3 linked regions of the Arabidopsis thaliana genome follow. The protein of the gene in region 2 interacts with the protein of the main gene of each other region in a pairwise test. Each region holds a gene or a part of one and is shown on either strand. Other genes may lie near its edges. The genes, in order: AT2G19650, HAT2 and PPR2.

Evidence for each region.
Region 1: the proteins of HAT2 (region 2) and AT2G19650 interact in a two-hybrid assay, tested with the Arabidopsis thaliana proteins (one large-scale study listed by BioGRID).
Region 3: the proteins of HAT2 (region 2) and PPR2 interact in a two-hybrid assay, tested with the Arabidopsis thaliana proteins (one large-scale study listed by BioGRID).

What each region holds. Positions count from the first base shown.
Region 1 is NC_003071.7:8,491,510-8,498,858, forward strand, and holds AT2G19650 (Cysteine/Histidine-rich C1 domain family protein), read right to left. Parts: upstream 4,384-7,349; 5' UTR 4,195-4,383; coding exon 2,146-4,194; 3' UTR 1,960-2,145; downstream 1-1,959. Other genes in the region: ASHR2 (ASH1-related protein 2), read left to right, coding at 1-1,088; AT2G19660 (Cysteine/Histidine-rich C1 domain family protein), read right to left, coding at 5,211-7,283.
Region 2 is NC_003076.8:19,213,994-19,220,692, reverse strand, and holds HAT2 (Homeobox-leucine zipper protein 4 (HB-4) / HD-ZIP protein), read left to right. Parts: upstream 1-2,685; 5' UTR 2,686-3,045; coding exon 3,046-3,196; intron 3,197-3,331; coding exon 3,332-3,642; intron 3,643-3,725; coding exon 3,726-3,805; intron 3,806-3,901; coding exon 3,902-4,211; 3' UTR 4,212-4,422; downstream 4,423-6,699. Other genes in the region: AT5G47360 (Tetratricopeptide repeat (TPR)-like superfamily protein), read left to right, coding at 4,815-6,248; AT5G47350 (alpha/beta-Hydrolases superfamily protein), read right to left, coding at 6,375-6,665. UniProt on the Arabidopsis thaliana protein: Probable transcription factor that plays a role in auxin-mediated morphogenesis. Negatively regulates lateral root elongation.
Region 3 is NC_003074.8:1,954,782-1,961,306, reverse strand, and holds PPR2 (Tetratricopeptide repeat (TPR)-like superfamily protein), read left to right. Parts: upstream 1-3,002; 5' UTR 3,003-3,066; coding exon 3,067-3,393; intron 3,394-3,515; coding exon 3,516-4,649; 3' UTR 4,650-4,898; downstream 4,899-6,525. Other genes in the region: ATG8H (Ubiquitin-like superfamily protein), read left to right, coding at 5,033-5,075, 5,173-5,228, 5,633-5,685, 5,790-5,908, 6,000-6,088.

The sequences.
Region 1 (7,349 bases), on a different chromosome or scaffold from region 2:
TCCTCAGAGAGTCTCCTCTCCTTCTCTACTCTGCTTTTCCATTTCTCTCCTCCTCTGTTTCTCCTTACTGCGACCATTGTTTCCGTTTGTTAGCTTCATCGGCGCATCAGAAATGTCAATCTTGCTCTCTCGTCTCCTTTTGTAGCCCTAATTGCTTCGCCTCTCATACTCCTTGGCTCTGCGAATCTCTTCGCCGGCTTCACCAATCATCCTCCTCTGCATTCTCCGATCAACCTTCTGATCGTCAAGTCCAAGCTCGTTTCCTCCTCTCTGCTTACAATCTCGCCGCTGCTTCTCCTTCTGATTTCCAGATTTTGCTCTCTCTCCAAGGTAGTGGCAGCAGCAATGGAGATCCTTCTTGTTCTGCGGGTGATTCTGCAGCTGCTGGGTTTCTTCATTCTCTTTTATCTTCCGTGTGTCCATCTCTTCCGGTGTCTATCTCGCCGGATCTCACGGCGGCTTTACTGTCAAAGGATAAAGTTAACGCCTTTGGTCTGATGGAACCGTGCTCTGTTTCGAATGAGAAAAGATCTGTGCGAGCTTATGGGATTTATCCAAAGACTTCGTTTTTCAATCATGATTGTCTTCCTAATGCTTGTAGATTCGATTATGTTGACTCTGCTTCTGATGGTAATACTGATATCATCATTAGGATGATTCATGATGTTCCTGAAGGTAGAGAAGTTTGTTTAAGCTACTTCCCTGTGAACATGAACTATTCGAGTAGACAAAAGAGATTGCTTGAGGATTACGGTTTTAAGTGTGACTGTGATCGGTGCAAAGTGGAATTTAGTTGGTCTGAAGGTGAGGAAGATGAGAATGAGATTATGGAAGAGATGGAGGATCAAGATGAACAAGAAGAGATGGAAGATTCAGTAGGTGAGAATGAAGAAGAAGTTTGTGGAAATGGTGTGGATGATGAATCTAATTTTCCTCATGCTTACTTTTTTGTGAGATATATGTGTGAGAAGGAGAATTGTTTTGGCACTCTAGCTCCGCTTCCCCCGAAGACTCATGATGCTTCGAGAGTTCTTGAATGTAATGTTTGTGGAAGCGTTAAGGAGGATGAAGTTGGCGTAAATCAATGAGGAAGGTTAGCTTAAAGAATTGATCAGCCGAAAATCTCAAGCTTGTTTGATGCAGCCAGACCCAAACAACAAGAGACTTGTCTTGGACCACATCGTTAATCAATGTTGTTTGTTGTTTGATGTTTACTTTTTTTTTTTTACTCAGTTTTGAAAATTCGATAAGTATTCTAGCTCTAGAATTCCATATCTAGGTTTTTTGTTTTCTCCTAGATAGTCTGAAGAATCAATTGTAATGGTCTGTGGAATTACACGGAAACAGTTTTGTTGTAATAATGGAGCATCAGTTTTCTTTGGTTGAATGAAAAATCATAATTTTTTTGACTTTTTAAGTTGAAAACTGCAGAATTACATGGCTTGATGATGTTTGCATTGTTAATCTCTATTACTCTTCAGTGTGCTCAGTGCCTGAAACCATAGCTTCCTTGATAGGGATCAATGTATTGGTAAACCAAATTGTGTAATAGTTTTTCCATAAAATAGATTCAATAGAACCAGTGTAACAAAAAATTATTAGGGGGCTCTGTTTTAAGGTCGCAACATGACGGTGACACAAACATTTTTTAGTGATTAACTTGTTCTCATTCTGTTCCAAGTTCAACAACACAAACTGAGTTTTTTGGCTTCTCTATCAGAGAACTAATGTGATTCTACAACACAACCTGCTCTGACTGACTTACTCTGCTATGTTCTGTTTTGCTCTGCTCTGTTCTCACTTCCACGTCTCTGTTTTTGTCATTGACATTTCGACTTGTAGGAACTTAAACATTTAGTGGATTGACTGGCAAGATTGATCCAACCTTTTCCAATCTTACATCCATAAATAAGTTGATATTTTTTCTGGTTTTTATTTGGCAAACACTAATGCACCCTAGGGTTCAATGAGATATATATATATTACACTAACACAAGTACACAACCAAATGTTATTGTAGGGACTTGTAATAATTTAACAGACCCAGATTCCTCACAAATTCTACCAAATTTGCGAGTCATTCAAGCTAGCAAACATTATCATCTATAAATAAATAGTTTTCTAAACATAGTAAAGAACATAATTTTAAAATTCGAAACGTTCCTGATAAATTTTCTTCTCACATTCTAAAGAACAAAAGTATAGATCAGCTCCGTCCTCGGGAAGCGTACGAACGAAAGGGAGCTTGCATCGAGAGTTGCACACGCAGCAAAGTGGTCTACAAATAGAGTGGTTGGATACAAATGTTCCTATCCATGTTAACGCTCCTGGCATGGAATATGCGTAAGTATCTATAACGCAGGAAATATGCAATGTGATCCCACACTCATTGCATGTATAGAACCATTTTTCTGGGTTCACAGTTGTTTCGCATGCTTCACACCAATATTTGCCAGCCACGCCCATTTCGCCATAAGATAAGAAGAGAGGATGATCGTCGTACCTATGCCTCATTACCTTTTGCGGTAAAATAGCACACTTGAAGCACAAACCAAATTCACAATCATCGCAACTCAATTTCCCGTCTCCATCACACTCACTACAACGTTTGGAGTGATCTGTAGAGTAGTGTAAAGGATGTTGATGGCTTTTGTGCTCAAATGGTTCTGTAACTGTAGCGCACCGTACATCTATCCTTAATTCCTTAGATTCATAGGAGAAACCGGTGAACAGTTGACGGCAAATACTACACCTATGTAACAAGTAGGTGCCATAATTTGGGGATAGTTCGAGTGGCTGGTTGTGGCACACATGACGTTTCTTTAAAGGAAGCTTGGCACATTTTTCGTGGATTATGAAATCGCATCTCTTTCTCGCGCAAGCGTAGAACGGTTCTGAACAAATCTGGAAGACACATGCGGTACAAACTACACTTTCTGGTAGATTCCAGCCACGGTAAATTCGTAAGTTATGCTTATGGCCGTAATGGTCTATCGTGTTGTCATCAATCACCTTGAATGGCGCAGTTTCCTCTTCTTCGGGTGTCCCTTCCAGTTCGATCATGTCCCATACATCCCTTCTGGTTGCGCATCTTGAATGAACAAAATAATCAAAACATTTGGAGCAAGAATAAGCCCCGTAGAACCCATCCACATTTTTACGACAAACTCTGCATTTCCCGTCTCCATGTCCGAGGCGAGGGGTGTAAGAGATGCGGTGGTCGTGGCGGTTGATGTTTATGACGCGAGGTAGATCGATACATTCCCGATGAATCATGAAATTGCACTGAAGACAGAAATAAGGGCTACGGTCACCTAGCGTCCCACAAGCATTGCAAGTGAAGTCAATGCGTCTTGGAACAAGGTGAAGTTGATGTTCATGGGTCCTCGGGCTTTTAACAAGAACCGGTGGTGGGTTTTTCATACATGATCTGCATATGCTAAAATTACAAACACCACAGTGGTGAAGCTGGCGATGGATTCCATCAAACTCCTCGCGGCAAAGAAGACATTTCTTGTCGGCGTAACCAGGGACTTCATATCTAAGTGACTTGAGTGGGTGTTGGGGGTGAGAAGTGTGGTATGCTTCTGGACTATTATGATCGATACAATCCAGACTGATGAAAAACTCGCATTGATGACATGTGTAGAAATGTTTCCAGCTATTATGTTGATGGCCACACCCTTTGCAATCTCTGAGTGTTTCGTGCGCTTCATGGGAGAGTTGGAGTGGATGCTCGTGTAGGTAGGAGTTTTCAGCAAGAACAAGTAGGGCTGGTCTCCTCGCGCAAATCAAATCCAACTGGAAATCACATTTGTTACAGCGATAACCGACACTGAAAAATTCTCCACAGAAACTACAATTAGAAACTCTGGTATGTAGGAGGATCAGCTTGAGAGGATGGACTGGATGGTAAGGGTGGTCGATTTCTGGTAACGGCTTGGCGCACTCTTCATGGAACACAACATCACATCCCGGCTCATTGCATCGGTGTCCTCCGTAAATGTAACTGCAACCGGGATGTTTGGAAATGAAGCTTGTATTATCTTCATCGGTCGAGTAGCATCCTTTACACTTGGTGAACTCGAAGCGTGTAAAAGGTATCAACGGATGCTCATGAAATGGTAACAATTTTTCAAGGCGGGATGCTTCTTCGTCCATGCCTTCATTAAACAAAGCTAGAAAGTTTTCCATGGTGATGTTTTCTTACTTCCACCAAAACACAAAGCTCTTCTCTTCTGCACTAGTTTCAGACTTGGTTTCTTGTTTTTCTCTCTTTCTTTTCTTTCAGGATTTTTTTTCAAGTGGTTTATCATTTTCAGACTTTGCAAATAGTTAATATGAATTCGCACCACAGAAATGATTCTTTTCATTACTGAGATTGAGACCACATGTGTTGGCTTCATCCTTGCATTATTTAATTAACTCAGACCACATATGTTGACTCTGCAACTATTGTGTCCGGCCAAAACATAAATAATTGAATGAATACAAAAAAGGTTTTTTCTTGCATTAAATGGAATAGAAGTTTATGGATAGAATAGTTTAGAATTTAAATGGATGGAACTGTACATTTTGTGGAAAAAACAGTTTGAAGTCTGAACCACACAACTCCTTGGCCAAGTAGCTTTGGAGGTAGACTTTGCTGCATTCAAGTCTCTGAAACCAAAGTTTTATTATTGTATTGCATCCACTAACTTTTATGTAATTTCAGACCAAAAGATTTGTATTTTTGTCTTTAAGACCAGGATTGGGCCAATCTTTGTTTTTTAATTTTTATACAGCCAAAAGTAAGTTCTATTTCCACCATCAGATTGTATAACCCATTTGAATAACACTATAAAGTTAACATATATATACCATCTGAAACATTCGAAGAATCATTTGTCAAATCACATGTATTCAAATCACTCAGAGCAAATTTTGATTAATAAAGAAGTTAAAAAGACATACTGCGTATACATGAGCTGCTCTTGCTTTAGCACAAAACAGAGACCAGATTCCAGTTCCAGCTCTAATGTCAAGAAACTTGTTCTTTTAAATATCCTGTTAAGAAATTCTGTTTCTAAGATCATTGAGACTGCTGCTGACTGGATTCAAAAGATTGATAATTGTGGAAAAAGCGCATAAGCTTGAGGTTAAAAAAAAACTATTGTAAAACATACTTTTGGAATTAAATGGTACAAAGTTTTTCTTCATTAAAACATGCCTTACCAATCACTACTAGAGTAGTTATTAGAGCGGTTGAAATTATAATAACAGTTTAAAGAACAAATGTATAAAACAACATCGGCTTTGGAAACGACCTTAACAATGGAAGGAAGCTTGCATTGAGAGTTACACACATAGCAAAATGGTCTACACATAGAGGTGTTGGATACCACCAAGTCTTCCTCCCATCCTATTTTGGAACCTGGCATATAATATGAGAAGTCTCCCACAACGCATGAAATATGCAATATGACACCACAATCATTGCATGTATAGAACCATTTCTTCGAATTCACTTTTGTTTCACATGCTTCACACCAGTATTCTCCATCCACACTACTTTCACCACACGACAAGTAAAGAGGATGATCGTCGTATCTATGCCACTTTACTTTCTGCGGTAAAAGAGCACACTTGAAGTCCAAACTATAGTCACACTCATCACAGCTAAAGCTTCCTATATCTAGATCCATGTTTTTGCCACATTCCGTACAAGACTTAGAACTACGTTTCGAAAAGTATAAGGGATGTTGATGGCTTTGGTGCACCAATGGTTCTCGAATTGAACCACATCGTACATCTAGAGTAACCATACGAGTAAGACACTCGTACCTGAAACCGGTGAAACTTTGCCAACAAAGATCACATGAAGTTTCGTCTGAAGTATCATTTGTGACTAGGGTAAATGGTAGGTTGTCGCAAACATGCCGTTTCTTCCGAGGCAGGTTAGCACATTTTTGGTGGAGAATGAAGTCACAATTCTCGCAACTGTAGAACGCATCTGAACAGATCTGGAAGACACATGCTTTACATAGTGTGCTTTCATGGAGAATCCTCCCATCCTTGTTGATTACTAAGTTATGATCATGGCTAAAATGTTTGATCGTGTTATCATCAATCACCTCGAATGGCGCATCTTCCTCTGGCTCTTCGGGTGTCCCTTCTAGCTCTATCATGTCCCATACATCCTCGTCCGTTGCGCATCTCGAGTGAACAACATAGTTAGAACATTTTGAGCAAGAATAACCCCCGTAGAAGCCATCAACCTTTTTACGACAAACCCCGCATGTATTTTGCCCATGTCCAAGACGACGAGTGTAGGAGATGCGATGATCGTGGCGGTTGATGTTTATGACGCGGGGCAAATCGATACACTCCCAATGAATCATGAAGTTGCATTGAAGACAGAAATAAGGGCTTTGATCAGCTTGAGTCCCGCAAGCATTGCAAGTGAAACCGAGAGGTTTTGAAAGAAGATAAAGTTGATGCTCATGGGTGGTCGGGCTTACAACACTAAGCGGCGGTGGGTTTTCCATACAGCCGCCACATATGGTAAAGTTACAAACATCACAGTGGTGAATTCGTCCGTCAAACTTATTCCCGCAAAGAAGACACTTGTTGTCGGCGTAATCGGGTGCTTCTTCACATCTAAGGAGCTTGAGTGGGTGTTGGGGGTGTAAAACGTGGCTAGCTTGTGGAAAAAGTTTGGTACACTCCACATGAAAGCGTAAATCGCATTTATTACATTTGTAATGAACAGCATCGAAAACTCCCCATTTGCATGTTTTGCAAAGTTGCACAAAACCGTCACGGGTTCCATCAGAGAGCTGAATCGGATGCTCGTGGACAGTGGATTCTTCAAGAATAAATTCCAAAGGCAACCTCGTCGCGCAACGAAAATCCAACTTGAAGTCACAAATCGAACAAAGATAACCATTTTCAAACGAAGATGGACACTGGCTACAAGAAGCAAGTGGTTCGACATTTATGAGGAGCTTTAGAGGATGGTCTGGATGAGAATAGTGGTTGATTTCTGGTAACGGGTCGGCACACTCTTTATGAAACACAGATTCACACCCCAACTCATTGCAATGGTAGCCTCCATATATGTAACCAACATACCCACACCCTTTACAAGCCTTGTAGGAAAAACGAGTAAAAGGTAACAGCGGATGGTTATGAATTGGTGGTACCTCTACTTTTTCCATGGTGATCCAAATCAAACCACAGATCTCTTTTGTGATGTTTTTCTTTTCTATTTTTGTTTCTATCGGATCTCTCAAAGTGGGCATATAACGATGAATAATCAAATAATGCATATGATCAAAATTAATGCCATACCACGTGAAATATTGATT
Region 2 (6,699 bases):
AAACTGTCACATACGCATTTTCGTTAATAATTAAAGCTTAGTGTTTATTTTTAAAATACTATAAGAGTCCAACAATCATGTGATGCAAACCTCAAATTCCGAGCTTCTCTAGAATAAGAATAAGCTGCTTTGTGTGATGATCATAATTATGCATGTTGATTGATTTTTCCTAAATCTAAAAAATAATCAAATATTCCAGTTAACAGATCTCAGTACATGTGAGAGGACAATTAGACAAAATCTAATGTACTATTTGTTTAGAGAATAATTGGTTAGTTAGGTTAAGGAAAAAACAGAGAGTATAAAATATCCCCAATGATGACCTCGTTCTACAGCCAAAATGCTGTAAAGAACATTCAAAGCTAATATACACATGCATGAAACATATGATTAAGCAACTAAAACCATGATTATTAGTCCTACGCAATTGCCAAACATATAAAATGATTACAACACATACTTTTAAAATATTCCGTTGCCTATGATTTTGTTTTGTGTTGTGGTACTCAACTTTGGATTTGGATCTGTGATGTAGGCCTGCAGCTTTTATTTCAAATAATATATATATATTTTATTTCCGAAGGAAACTAAGTAATCGAAATGGTGTATTCAATTCAATATTTCACTTATCATGTAAATTGAGAAACTAAGGTAAGACTGTAAGAGAATGCTCATACCCTTCTGCACTACCTCCAAATAGACGAGGCTCTACTGAAAAAATCGGAATAATGTGAAATAACAAGTTGCTGTTTGGACGCCATATCTCAATTTGCTATATCTACAAATTAACGATACCAAAGTGCTAGTAGGGGCTAAATGCAGAAATTTAAGCCATTCACCATTACGGATAGAACATGAAATTCTCATTTAAGCTATGCTACTTGAATATGTTCTCGTTAAGAATTGTTTCACCCTAGTGCAAGATCCGCGGTCATGCTCAATTAAGTGCTAAAAGTTAGACTAGTAGACCAAATTTGAATCCGATATATATATTACCTTGGTGCCGAACTCAAACTTAGACATGCTCGAACCTCAACACCAAGAACACTCGATGTTTTTGCCAATACTTACATAAAAGCTATTGGAGGATCACTAATAAATGATTGATCATCAATCATCATGCTTTGCGGACTCTCTTTTTCGTTGAGGGGTAAATGATTACAAATAAACATGCGCGCGTGGATATAACGCACTTGGTCAGTGCGTGTGGCACAAGTCAGAGTGAACACGTGGGACAGCCAGATCACACTGAAACACAACTCCGACATCTTGTCGGATCTTATGTAAAGCGTTGGGTCCCACTTTTCATAATATCTCTCACCACGAAACCCATCTTTTTGCTCTCAATTATTGTCGCTCATTGCCGTATCTCTTCATAATTTCACTATATACATGTCTACGTTAGGCGGAAATTATTAAATTGTTTTTGGAATTTTAGTTTACATGTTATTTTTTTCTAAATAAACATGAAATATATTTACAAAAGTATATCCAAACCATCATTTTTTTATTGTTTACATATACACTAATGACACTTTTATTTGGATTGTGAATTATGATTATGCAACGATCACTAGTAGTTTACTAGAACAATTAAGTTTACATGCTTCAGGCATTGTAAAACAACTATTTACAAAAACTGAAGTTAGTCTACAACTAGTTTTTGTGAAAAGAAAGGAATATTAGACGATAAAAAAGTAGGCAGCAGTTAAAGGAATCAAATAATTAACAAGTTAGCATTGATTGAGGCGGATGGTTACACATGATAAGGAGCAGGCGAGTGAGGAAACAACACAACACGCACGATCACGCTGTTATGACCCACATGCTCCTATCTCCATGTTACTGTACGCAAAGTGGTTATACATTTACACACACTTGACCAATATTGCTCACATTTAAATTTTTATTTCTAAAGGAAAAAGCACAAACATTTAAAGGTTTTACTGACGGAAGAAACGAAAAAAAGTAGTAGCTTTAAAATGTCATTGTTGATGAAAGTAGAAACCATGATGATGATATTTATGTGCAAATATTCATCTCACACGTATATCATTGGTTCATAACCGTTGGTTGGTCCACAACTTTGAACAAGTTCAGATTCTTTTTGATTGTGTTTTGTACCAACCACTCCAATTAGTCAATATTCCATTATATCCAACCTCAAATACTATTTTCCCTTTTCTCTTTAAAAAATATTTGGACAAATAATTGGCTACACTATTGGAGATTTGACTCAGCTCGGTATGCCGTAACTAATCAAGATACTATTTTCTATACTTTCTTTTATTGATATCCACATAATACATGTACTTTGAGTATAATGACGTGTACTTGATTAAGACAAAACGAAGTACGAGAATTATTGTATTTATCAACTTTGAGACATACTACATGATATGGATCATGAAAATTAACACAAGTAGTGCAAATTGCGTTATCCATATACAAAAAACATCGCACCTTGATGATTCACTTAATTGTAGATTACTTTCTCAGAGTGGTCCGGACATTTCTATTGGTTTTAAAGACATTGGCTTTAAATCTTCAGACACAAAACACATATACATGTGTACACTTGAAAACATATTGGCCATCTTATTTGTTTTGGACAAACTGCCATCTTATTATGCATGGGTTCTTGTAAGGAATAAACTAAAAATGTTTGTGAAAGAAAAAGAAAAACACAAATATTGAGAAAGTACAAAAAGAAAGACATGGCAAAGGCCAAAGGGGGGACACAAGTTGGAGATAAAGTAATACAAGTCCAAAAACAAAGAAACAATAATGATGGATTGTAATTAGCCACCTGACAAAATCTCTCATCATTCAAAGTACTATATTAATCCCCTCTCTTCTTCATTACCATCTCACATCTCTCTCTATTTCTCTTCCACAAAGAGTCCTAACTTCGAGTTGAAACAAACACCATTTCTCATCTCTATCTCAGAAAGAACAAACCATTTCGTGTTCTTTCTTTCTCTATTCTCATAAGGAAATATAATTCCTGAAACTGTTGAGTTCTTGTGAAAGGAAATAAAAAACATGATGATGGGCAAAGAAGATCTAGGTTTGAGCCTAAGCTTAGGGTTTTCACAAAATCACAATCCTCTTCAGATGAATCTGAATCCTAACTCTTCATTATCAAACAATCTCCAGAGACTCCCATGGAACCAAACATTCGATCCTACATCAGGTATATACTTAAATCTTCTCTGTTTTTTTTTTTAAAGAAACAGAACAGATTTCAGAATTGAAGTATGAGACTTTTCTTCGTTTCCAAGTAAAATAAAAACAGATCTCAAACTTAAAATTTGATTGCTCTTTGCAGATCTTCGCAAGATAGACGTGAACAGTTTTCCATCAACGGTTAACTGCGAGGAAGACACAGGAGTTTCGTCACCAAACAGTACGATCTCAAGCACCATTAGCGGGAAGAGAAGTGAGAGAGAAGGAATCTCCGGAACCGGCGTTGGCTCCGGCGACGATCACGACGAGATCACTCCGGATCGAGGGTACTCACGTGGAACCTCAGATGAAGAAGAAGACGGGGGCGAAACGTCGAGGAAGAAGCTCAGGTTATCAAAAGATCAGTCTGCTTTTCTCGAAGAGACTTTCAAAGAACACAACACTCTCAATCCCGTAAGTGTAAAAAAGTCAGAGGAATCAAATGATAATTATCGTAATTACTTTGAAATAACCAAGGTTATTATCATAATTTACAGAAACAGAAGCTAGCTTTGGCTAAGAAGCTGAACTTGACGGCAAGACAAGTGGAAGTGTGGTTCCAAAACAGAAGAGCTAGGTGAGATTTTCTTGTCTTAACACCAAAATTGTAAAATTACATTTATACCCCCTTGTGTAGAAGTTTTTACTTACAAGGTCCGATTTGGTTTTACAGAACCAAGTTAAAGCAAACGGAGGTAGATTGCGAATACTTGAAACGGTGCGTAGAGAAGCTAACGGAAGAGAACCGGAGACTTCAGAAAGAGGCTATGGAGCTTCGAACTCTCAAGCTGTCTCCACAATTCTACGGTCAGATGACTCCACCAACTACACTCATCATGTGTCCTTCGTGCGAGCGTGTGGGTGGCCCATCATCATCGAACCATCACCACAATCACAGGCCCGTTTCTATCAATCCGTGGGTTGCTTGTGCTGGTCAGGTGGCTCATGGGCTGAATTTTGAAGCCTTGCGTCCACGATCGTGATTTTTTATTTTAGTGGTGGGAAAAGGGTGTTTTGGTATTTTTCGTTATCGTTATATAGTCTATCTGTGTGGGGTCATTGTAATTTTGGATGATTGGCCTTCTCATGAACTAGTCCTATGTATGATGCAACCTTAAAAAGATTTAAATTAGCAAAAATTAGTTACAAACTTGCTATATTAACCAAAAATTATGAAACTATCTTTTTTTGATATCTTACAAGAGTTCTAAATTAAACCAAAAATTCACAAACGTCTTCTAGATAAATACACAGTTTCTGAGCATGGTATAAGTGTAGCTTATATGCAGTTGCTCAAAAAAGAAAAGAAAAAGAAGTGTAGCTTATTTGAAGTTCTTAACGAAATCATGAAATCTTGTGACCTAATCTGACTTCAATTGCTTTTCCGATTCAGATCTGACAAAGATGTATGAGCAATTCTTATTGGGTCTTAATGGGCTACATTATTATGTCGGCCCATACGTTTAGTCTTTCGTCGTCGTTTCCATCTGCGAAAGCGAAACTCTCCTATTTCTCTCACTCAAGTCTCATTCTTACGATTTTCTTAACGAAATCTTTCATCAATCGCTACACTTATAGCGACCCAGATGCCAAATTCATTGATTTCTCGTCTGGTATCTCCTTCATTACGATCTCAGCCCTCAAAAATCTCAGCTTTACGTTTTTTAACAACTGTCTCAGCCGCCGAGAGATTATACGGCCAGCTTCAAGGATGCACAAGTAATCTCGAGAAAGAATTAGCTTCGGCTAATGTACAATTAGACTCCTCTTGTATCAACGAGGTACTAAGAAGATGCGATCCAAATCAATTTCAATCGGGTCTTAGGTTTTTCATATGGGCAGGAACTCTATCCAGCCATAGACACAGTGCTTACATGTATACCAAAGCTTGCGACATTCTTAAGATTAGAGCAAAGCCAGATTTGATCAAATACGTTATTGAATCTTATCGGAAAGAAGAATGCTTTGTTAATGTTAAGACGATGAGGATTGTTCTGACTCTGTGTAATCAAGCGAATCTCGCTGATGAGGCATTGTGGGTATTAAGGAAGTTTCCTGAATTTAATGTATGTGCAGACACTGTTGCGTATAATTTGGTGATTAGGTTGTTTGCTGATAAGGGAGATTTGAATATAGCTGATATGTTGATAAAAGAGATGGATTGTGTTGGTCTTTATCCAGATGTGATTACTTATACGTCGATGATCAATGGGTATTGCAATGCGGGTAAGATTGATGACGCTTGGAGGTTAGCTAAGGAGATGAGTAAGCATGATTGCGTGCTTAACAGTGTGACGTATTCTAGGATTCTTGAAGGAGTTTGCAAGTCTGGTGATATGGAGAGAGCGTTAGAGTTGTTGGCGGAGATGGAGAAAGAAGACGGTGGTGGATTGATTAGTCCGAATGCGGTTACTTATACTTTGGTGATTCAAGCGTTTTGTGAGAAGAGGAGGGTTGAAGAGGCGTTGTTGGTATTGGATAGAATGGGAAACCGAGGGTGCATGCCGAATCGTGTTACTGCTTGTGTTTTGATTCAGGGGGTTTTGGAGAATGATGAGGATGTGAAGGCTCTTTCTAAGTTGATTGATAAGTTGGTGAAACTAGGCGGTGTTTCTCTTTCTGAGTGTTTTAGTTCGGCTACTGTGTCGCTAATCCGTATGAAAAGATGGGAAGAGGCTGAAAAGATTTTCCGTCTGATGTTGGTCCGCGGGGTTAGACCTGATGGTCTTGCGTGCAGTCATGTTTTCAGGGAGTTATGTTTGTTGGAAAGGTATCTCGATTGTTTCCTTCTGTATCAAGAAATCGAGAAGAAGGATGTGAAATCAACAATAGACTCGGATATACATGCGGTTCTTTTGCTCGGTCTCTGCCAACAGGGGAATTCTTGGGAAGCTGCTAAGCTTGCGAAATCAATGCTTGACAAGAAAATGAGATTGAAAGTTTCTCATGTTGAGAAAATCATTGAAGCCTTGAAGAAAACTGGTGATGAAGATCTCATGAGTCGTTTCTCTATTGATTAATTCAATTTATTCAGATAGTATGCTTTTATTATTCATATAAGAAGAAGGATTATTGTGTCACACAATCATCACTGAGCTTATTCGACATTGGATGAATTAGTATAGCGATTGAACTATTTGCTCATTTTAAGGATGCAAGGGCTCCTTGGTCTTGCGGTTGAGTCTTGGTGGGGCAGACTGTTGATCCTGGAGAAGAGGTACGACGTATTTGACGAGATCTTCGTCCGCCATTATTAAGTGGTCACCGGTTACATTCACAAACTGCACTTTTCCAGCAACAACCAATGCTTTCAGACCTATCCAATCTTCTATATAGAGCTTTGTCTCTTGAACAGGGAGAACATGTGTTAAGTCACCATCCGGATAAAACCCGAACCAAGATGACTCTTTTGGAACAATAACCGTATCGTTCTCAAACTGTATAAAAGAAAAACAAATCATCACGAGAGGA
Region 3 (6,525 bases), on a different chromosome or scaffold from region 2:
GGTATCGAATGCTCCATGTAGTCTGTTTGTTGTCACTTTGCTTCGTCGCGGGGTCGTAGTTTTGAGAGATATCTTCGAGCTATCCCCCTACCTGGCGCGCCAACTGTTGATGCACGAATCACACAAGTACGAAAATGGGATCTCTAGGGAAGGAAGAATCTTTCTATTAAAGACGAGCCTGCGACTTAGGCGAATTGGACGGATTTCAAAGGATGATTTCTTCAACGAGCATTGATGGAGTAAGAACGAGCTGATTGTAGATGAAAGGCGAGCTTGAGGCCGGAAGACGAACTTAATGTCCGAGGAAGAATAGAGTTTATTCGTTTTATAGCTGAACCTTGTAAAAGGTTGCCTACGTACCCTTAGAAAGGGATCAAGCCACACGTAGTTCATATTAGAATAAGTGAGCTAGGCCGTCATTGGAGGTAGGTCGGCAGGTAGTTGACGAGGGATGAGCTATAGCTAGACGAGGAGTTGGACGAGCTGACTAGCTGACAGCTAGGCGGCGAGGACATGGTCGCTGTGATGGGAAGAGCTTGAAGACGAGCTGAGGAGCTTGAGGACGAGCCGAGGAGTTTGAAGAGCTGAAGAGCTTGACGAAGAGGAGCGAGCTGATGAACTACTTGAGAAGGGCCCAATCCGACCCCTAACAAAGACTTATGTTTAGATATGTTTTCATGCGATCCAAACTATACTATATATTTTTTTGGACGGATTTTTTAATAAGTTTTATGGAGTTCACAGACGAGTTTGAACGAAGCGTTTTCTTTATATATGTGCTATGCGAAATAAAAACTTGAAGACAAATTTAAATAATAATGTGATGTAGTAGGGCAATTGCATAATCGATAAATCCGGATAAGTGTGCCCCGATACAACAAAAGCAACAACGTTTACGAAAATTTAACAAGTCCAAAAGTAACAGACATGATAATAATATCCTCATTACAAAACTCAACACACGATCAAAATAAGTGAAACATAACATAAACCATAAACCCTCAAGTTTCAATACGTATCAGGAGATTTAATGGGGGGGGGGGTTAAAATCATATACTCCTCCTTGCCGAACTATTAGGGGTCGGATTGGGCCTACTTGGCCCAATGCCCAAACCCAAGTCAAAAGCCCAAAATAAGTTCCAAACCAAGGAGGAGTATTAAGGCGAAGGGTAGTTTCGTCAAATCCCTCGATGAATGCCCTACACGCGTAGTGCTATAAATACGGAATAGCATGTCATGTCGAAGGGGGGAATTCCGCCTGACACGCAGACACAGAGTAGCTCGCCTTTCTCAAGTAGCTCGTCAGCGAGCCCTTCTCAAGAAGCTCGTTAGCTCGCTCCTCTTCGACAAGCTTATCAACTCGTTCTCTTCACCAAGTCCCTCAGCTCGTCTTCAAGCTCTCCAACTCGTCTTTAAGCTCTTCAAACTCTTCAGATCGCCATTAAGCTCAACAAGCTGCTAAGCTCGTCTTCAAGCTCCTCAACTCGTCTTCAAGCTTCTCAGCTCGTCTTCATGCTCCACTCAACGACCATCTCCTCGTCTAGCTGTCATCTATACAGCTCGTCCAACTCCTCGTCTAGCTATCAGCTCATCCCTCGAAAACAAAACTCATCTACCTCCTCGCCTAGCGGCAGTTCGTCCATTGACTGCATAGTCCACCTATCTCGTCGTCCAGCTCGTCTAGACCTTCAGCAAACAACTCGGTTTATCCAACTCGTCTCTCTACCACGGTTCATCCAGCTTGTCGCACATCTGCCGGCTCGTCAACTACCTGCCGACCTACCTCCAATGACGGCCTAGCTCACTTATTCTAATATGAACTACGTGTGGCTTGACCCCTTTCTAATATGGACTACGTGTCGTCTCGCTTGACTATCACCGAGACAGCACATTGTCAGCTCGCCCGTCTCACGAAGATCGTCCGTCTCAAATAGCTCGTCAGCTCGTCCTTCTCAAGTAGCTCGTCAGCGAGCCCTTCTCAAGAAGCTCGTTAGCTCGCTCCTCTTCGTCAAGCTTATCAACTCGTTCTCTTCACCAAGTCCCCCAGCTCGTCTTCAAGCTCTCCAACTCGTCTTCAAGCTCTTCAGCTCGCCTTAAGCTCTTCAGCTCGCCTTTAAGCTCTTCAAACTCTTTAGCTCGCCCTTCTTACAAAAACAAAAAAGGATATCAATTATGTAGATCAAAACAAAAACAAAAAAGGACTTACAAGGACGTAGATATCAATTATGTAGATCAAAGAATAAGCAGTCCAAATTCCAGCGTTGATGAAACGAACTAACGATAGCCAAAACGGCATGTACTTGAAGGTCTTAGTCTCCGGCGGCATTTTGTCCTAATTGTTTCACGCATTAAAAACTTATCAAAACCAGTTTAATAGTTTACTTATCTATATATTCATCAATAAGTGAGAGCCAGAGAGAGAGAGAGAGCTTACTATGGTAAATAAAAGATAGATGATAACAATGTTGTAAACGTTGCAAACAACACCAATGAATGTATGCTTGCCGGCCGGATAAACTCCCAAATCCCCAGATAGTCATACAATAGACTGTTGCCACAAAACTAAACTCCAACGGAAGCAATAGATAAAAGAGTAATATCTGCACATCAACATCGACATCATCAAAATCAATATACAATATTTTTCTGGATTTGTTTTTTTTTTCTTTGGGATATTTCTATAGAATTTAGTCAAGATTGTGTTTGTTTGTTACCACCTTTTGTGCACCAGTCACCAATCCTTATTTTTATTATTAAATCTATTTTTGATACTATAATTCGTGATTTTCCTTTTAGTTTTATATATATATATACTTACAGAGATGCGAGCTTCATATTATTATTTTTATCTTTTTGAACACCAAAAAAATAGCCTCGTATTATTTTTAAATGATCAATTATGTGATCATATTTAAAAATACGATCCGGTTTTTAAGGGATTTGAACGGATCAAATGTGTTTCCGGTTCGGTTATATAAACCGGTATTTTACCATATCCAACCGAAATGAGTATCGACGGGAATTATCCGTAAACAGAGTGACAGTGAGGTGTGAAGGAAGAAGACGATGGCGTCAATGTCTCTCTCCTTTTCTTCTTCGCTATGTTCATCCAGAATCCCCGAAGGTAAGCGTAGGTTTCGTCACAGAGATGTGGGCATCGTTAGATGCGTTTTGGCTGCTTCGAAATCTTCTCCGGGAAGTGTTACGAAGAAGAGGCTTTGGAAAGACGGCGAATTCCCCGGAATCACGGAGCCGGTTAATCAGAGAAGAACTCCGATAAAGAATGTGAAGAAGAAACTTGACAGGAGAAGCAAAGCTAACGGATGGGTTAACACCGTCACTGAAACTTTGTCCGATCTCATCGCCAAAAAGCAGTGGTTACAAGCTCTCGAGGTATTTCGATTTTCTCTCTTCTCGTTCATGTTTGATTGAATTTGAACTCAATTTTGAATCACGAGTATAATTTAGCTGAAAGATGATTTTGATTGAATTGGGTATTTTGTTGATGATCTTAGGTTTTTGATATGTTGAGGGAACAAACATTTTATCAACCAAAGGAAGGAACTTACATGAAGCTGCTTGTTCTTCTCGGTAAATCTGGTCAACCCAATCGTGCACAGAAGCTGTTCGACGAAATGCTTGAAGAAGGACTTGAACCAACTGTTGAACTCTACACTGCTCTTCTCGCTGCTTACACTCGCAGCAATCTCATCGACGATGCTTTTTCAATTCTTGATAAAATGAAAAGCTTTCCTCAATGCCAACCTGATGTTTTCACGTACAGCACTCTGCTCAAGGCTTGTGTGGATGCTTCTCAGTTTGACTTGGTGGATTCGTTATACAAGGAAATGGACGAGCGTTTGATAACTCCAAACACTGTGACCCAGAACATAGTTTTAAGTGGGTACGGTAGGGTCGGAAGGTTTGATCAGATGGAGAAAGTTTTGTCTGATATGTTGGTGAGTACTGCTTGCAAACCCGATGTGTGGACTATGAATATCATCCTTAGTGTGTTTGGAAACATGGGTAAGATAGACATGATGGAGAGCTGGTACGAAAAGTTCAGGAACTTTGGGATTGAGCCAGAGACTCGGACTTTCAATATTTTGATTGGTTCTTATGGGAAGAAGAGAATGTATGATAAGATGTCGTCTGTCATGGAATACATGCGAAAGCTAGAGTTTCCGTGGACAACATCAACCTACAACAATATCATCGAGGCGTTTGCGGATGTTGGTGATGCAAAGAACATGGAGTTGACATTTGATCAGATGCGTAGCGAAGGTATGAAAGCAGACACAAAGACCTTTTGCTGTCTCATAAACGGATATGCCAATGCCGGTCTTTTCCACAAGGTGATAAGTAGTGTTCAGTTGGCTGCTAAGTTTGAGATACCCGAGAATACTGCCTTTTACAACGCGGTGATATCAGCGTGTGCTAAAGCAGATGATCTGATAGAGATGGAAAGAGTGTACATAAGAATGAAGGAGAGACAATGCGTATGCGATTCAAGAACGTTTGAGATCATGGTCGAGGCGTATGAAAAAGAAGGTATGAATGATAAGATCTATTACTTGGAACAAGAGAGGCAAAAGCTTATGGATCGCACTGTTGCTACAAAAGAGATGGAGAATCTTCCGGCAGGATGATTGCGGTTTGTGTGTGAATCTCTCTCTCTCTCTCTCTGCAAGGAGAGATCGATGTCTCACTTGAAAGAGTAGAATAAAAGAGTTTGTAATACACTTGATTGTTCTTGCAGCTATGCGTGTTATATATTTTGATGGGCCCAAAATTATGAATAGAGGCCCATAGATAAACTGTGACGTGCACAAGAAATCGGACAAGTCCAAAAAGTGGATAAGTGCGTGTCGTCTTTCTATAAATAATCTCTTTTCTCTCATCTTTTACCGTTTCTTCTCGAACAATCAAAAACGAACTAACCAAACATAAAATTGAACACATCCTCTTCCTCTGCTCTCTGCAAACAAAAAAACACCGATTCGGTCAGGAATCATTCGTCGTGAAATCTGTAATGGGGATTGTTGTCAAGTCTTTCAAGGATCAATTCTCCTCTGGTTTGTTCTTCGTTAATCTCTTTCTGATTCTTTGGAATTTTTTTTCCTTCGAAATGTGCTTCTGAAGCAAAGTTTTCATCTTTGTTTGAGGATATAGATGAGAGATTGAAGGAGTCGAACAACATCATTGCGAAATATCCAGATAGAATACCTGTAAGTTATTTCATAAATTTCATGTTTGATTTGTTTCTTGGTGTTTCCGTCTTAGTTGCCGTGCGATTGTGGATTTCCTTAGGGTTCGAATGATTTACTCAATTAAAAAAAAGTCTTCGTTTGACTTGCATCTCTCGAATTTGCTAGAATCTCTGTTTCAATCTTAGAATTTCTTCGCCATGGTTTGATGGATACGATCTGGGATCTGAAATTTGACTGATTTTGTGCGGTTTGGTGTTGATCCAATCACTCTGGTCAATGTCGGAGACGACTTCTTTAGTTGAGATTTGATCTATCACCAACAACAACCCAAACCAATTTGATTTAGGGATTTGGATCTGTTCTTGGTTTGGTTTCTTCATCAGATTCCAGCATTTATGGATGGGTTTTATTTACTTATGTAGGTGATCATTGAGAAATATTCAAACGCAGATCTGCCAGACATGGAGAAGAACAAGTGAGTTGTGACATCAATTTAGCTGTTGGACCAAACCAAGTGTAACCTGTCTAACTGTGAATAATCTTGTTTTTAACTCTGTATCCCGCATTTGTTTATTGTAGATACTTGGTCCCACGAGACATGACTGTTGGACATTTCATCCATATGCTAAGCAAAAGGATGCAGTTAGATCCATCCAAAGCTCTCTTTGTTTTCGTACACAACACTCTTCCTCAAACCGGTAAGATAAGAAGTATCATCATCCATGTAGAGTGAGACTTTACCTGCAGTTTTCCAAAGCTTTCCATTAACACTTGTCTTGAATTATGCAGCTAGTCGCATGGACTCTCTCTACAATACTTTCAAGGAAGAAGACGGGTTCTTGTACATGTGCTACAGCACCGAGAAAACTTTCGGCTAACAAAAGATTTGTCGCTTCATATCGAAATCGAAGCGCACTCTGAATAATCCATTTGTTTGATTCCTATGTTTGTGAATAACGTCAGCTCTTGTTGTTACTGTTATTGTTGTTGTTAGCTGACATTGTACAGAAAAGCTAAAAAAAAGAAAGACATTTGACTTTGTAAATTATGTATAATCCAACTATGGCAATAATAATAAGACCAAGTGATGATGATTCACACGAAACTCTTTTTGCGTTTTGTTCTTCCCTATAAAAAAAGAAAAGAATATAGATACTTTCGTGGAAGCACGTAAGTTTGGGGAGATGTGGTAAAATGAGACCTAAAGAAATTGCAATGTCGGTGCGGCGGTAAACGTGTACCCTACGACTTGGATTGTGTGTTTTATGCGATAAGGTTTTTAAGAAAACCGCAATTTTTAGAATATTGTTTATGT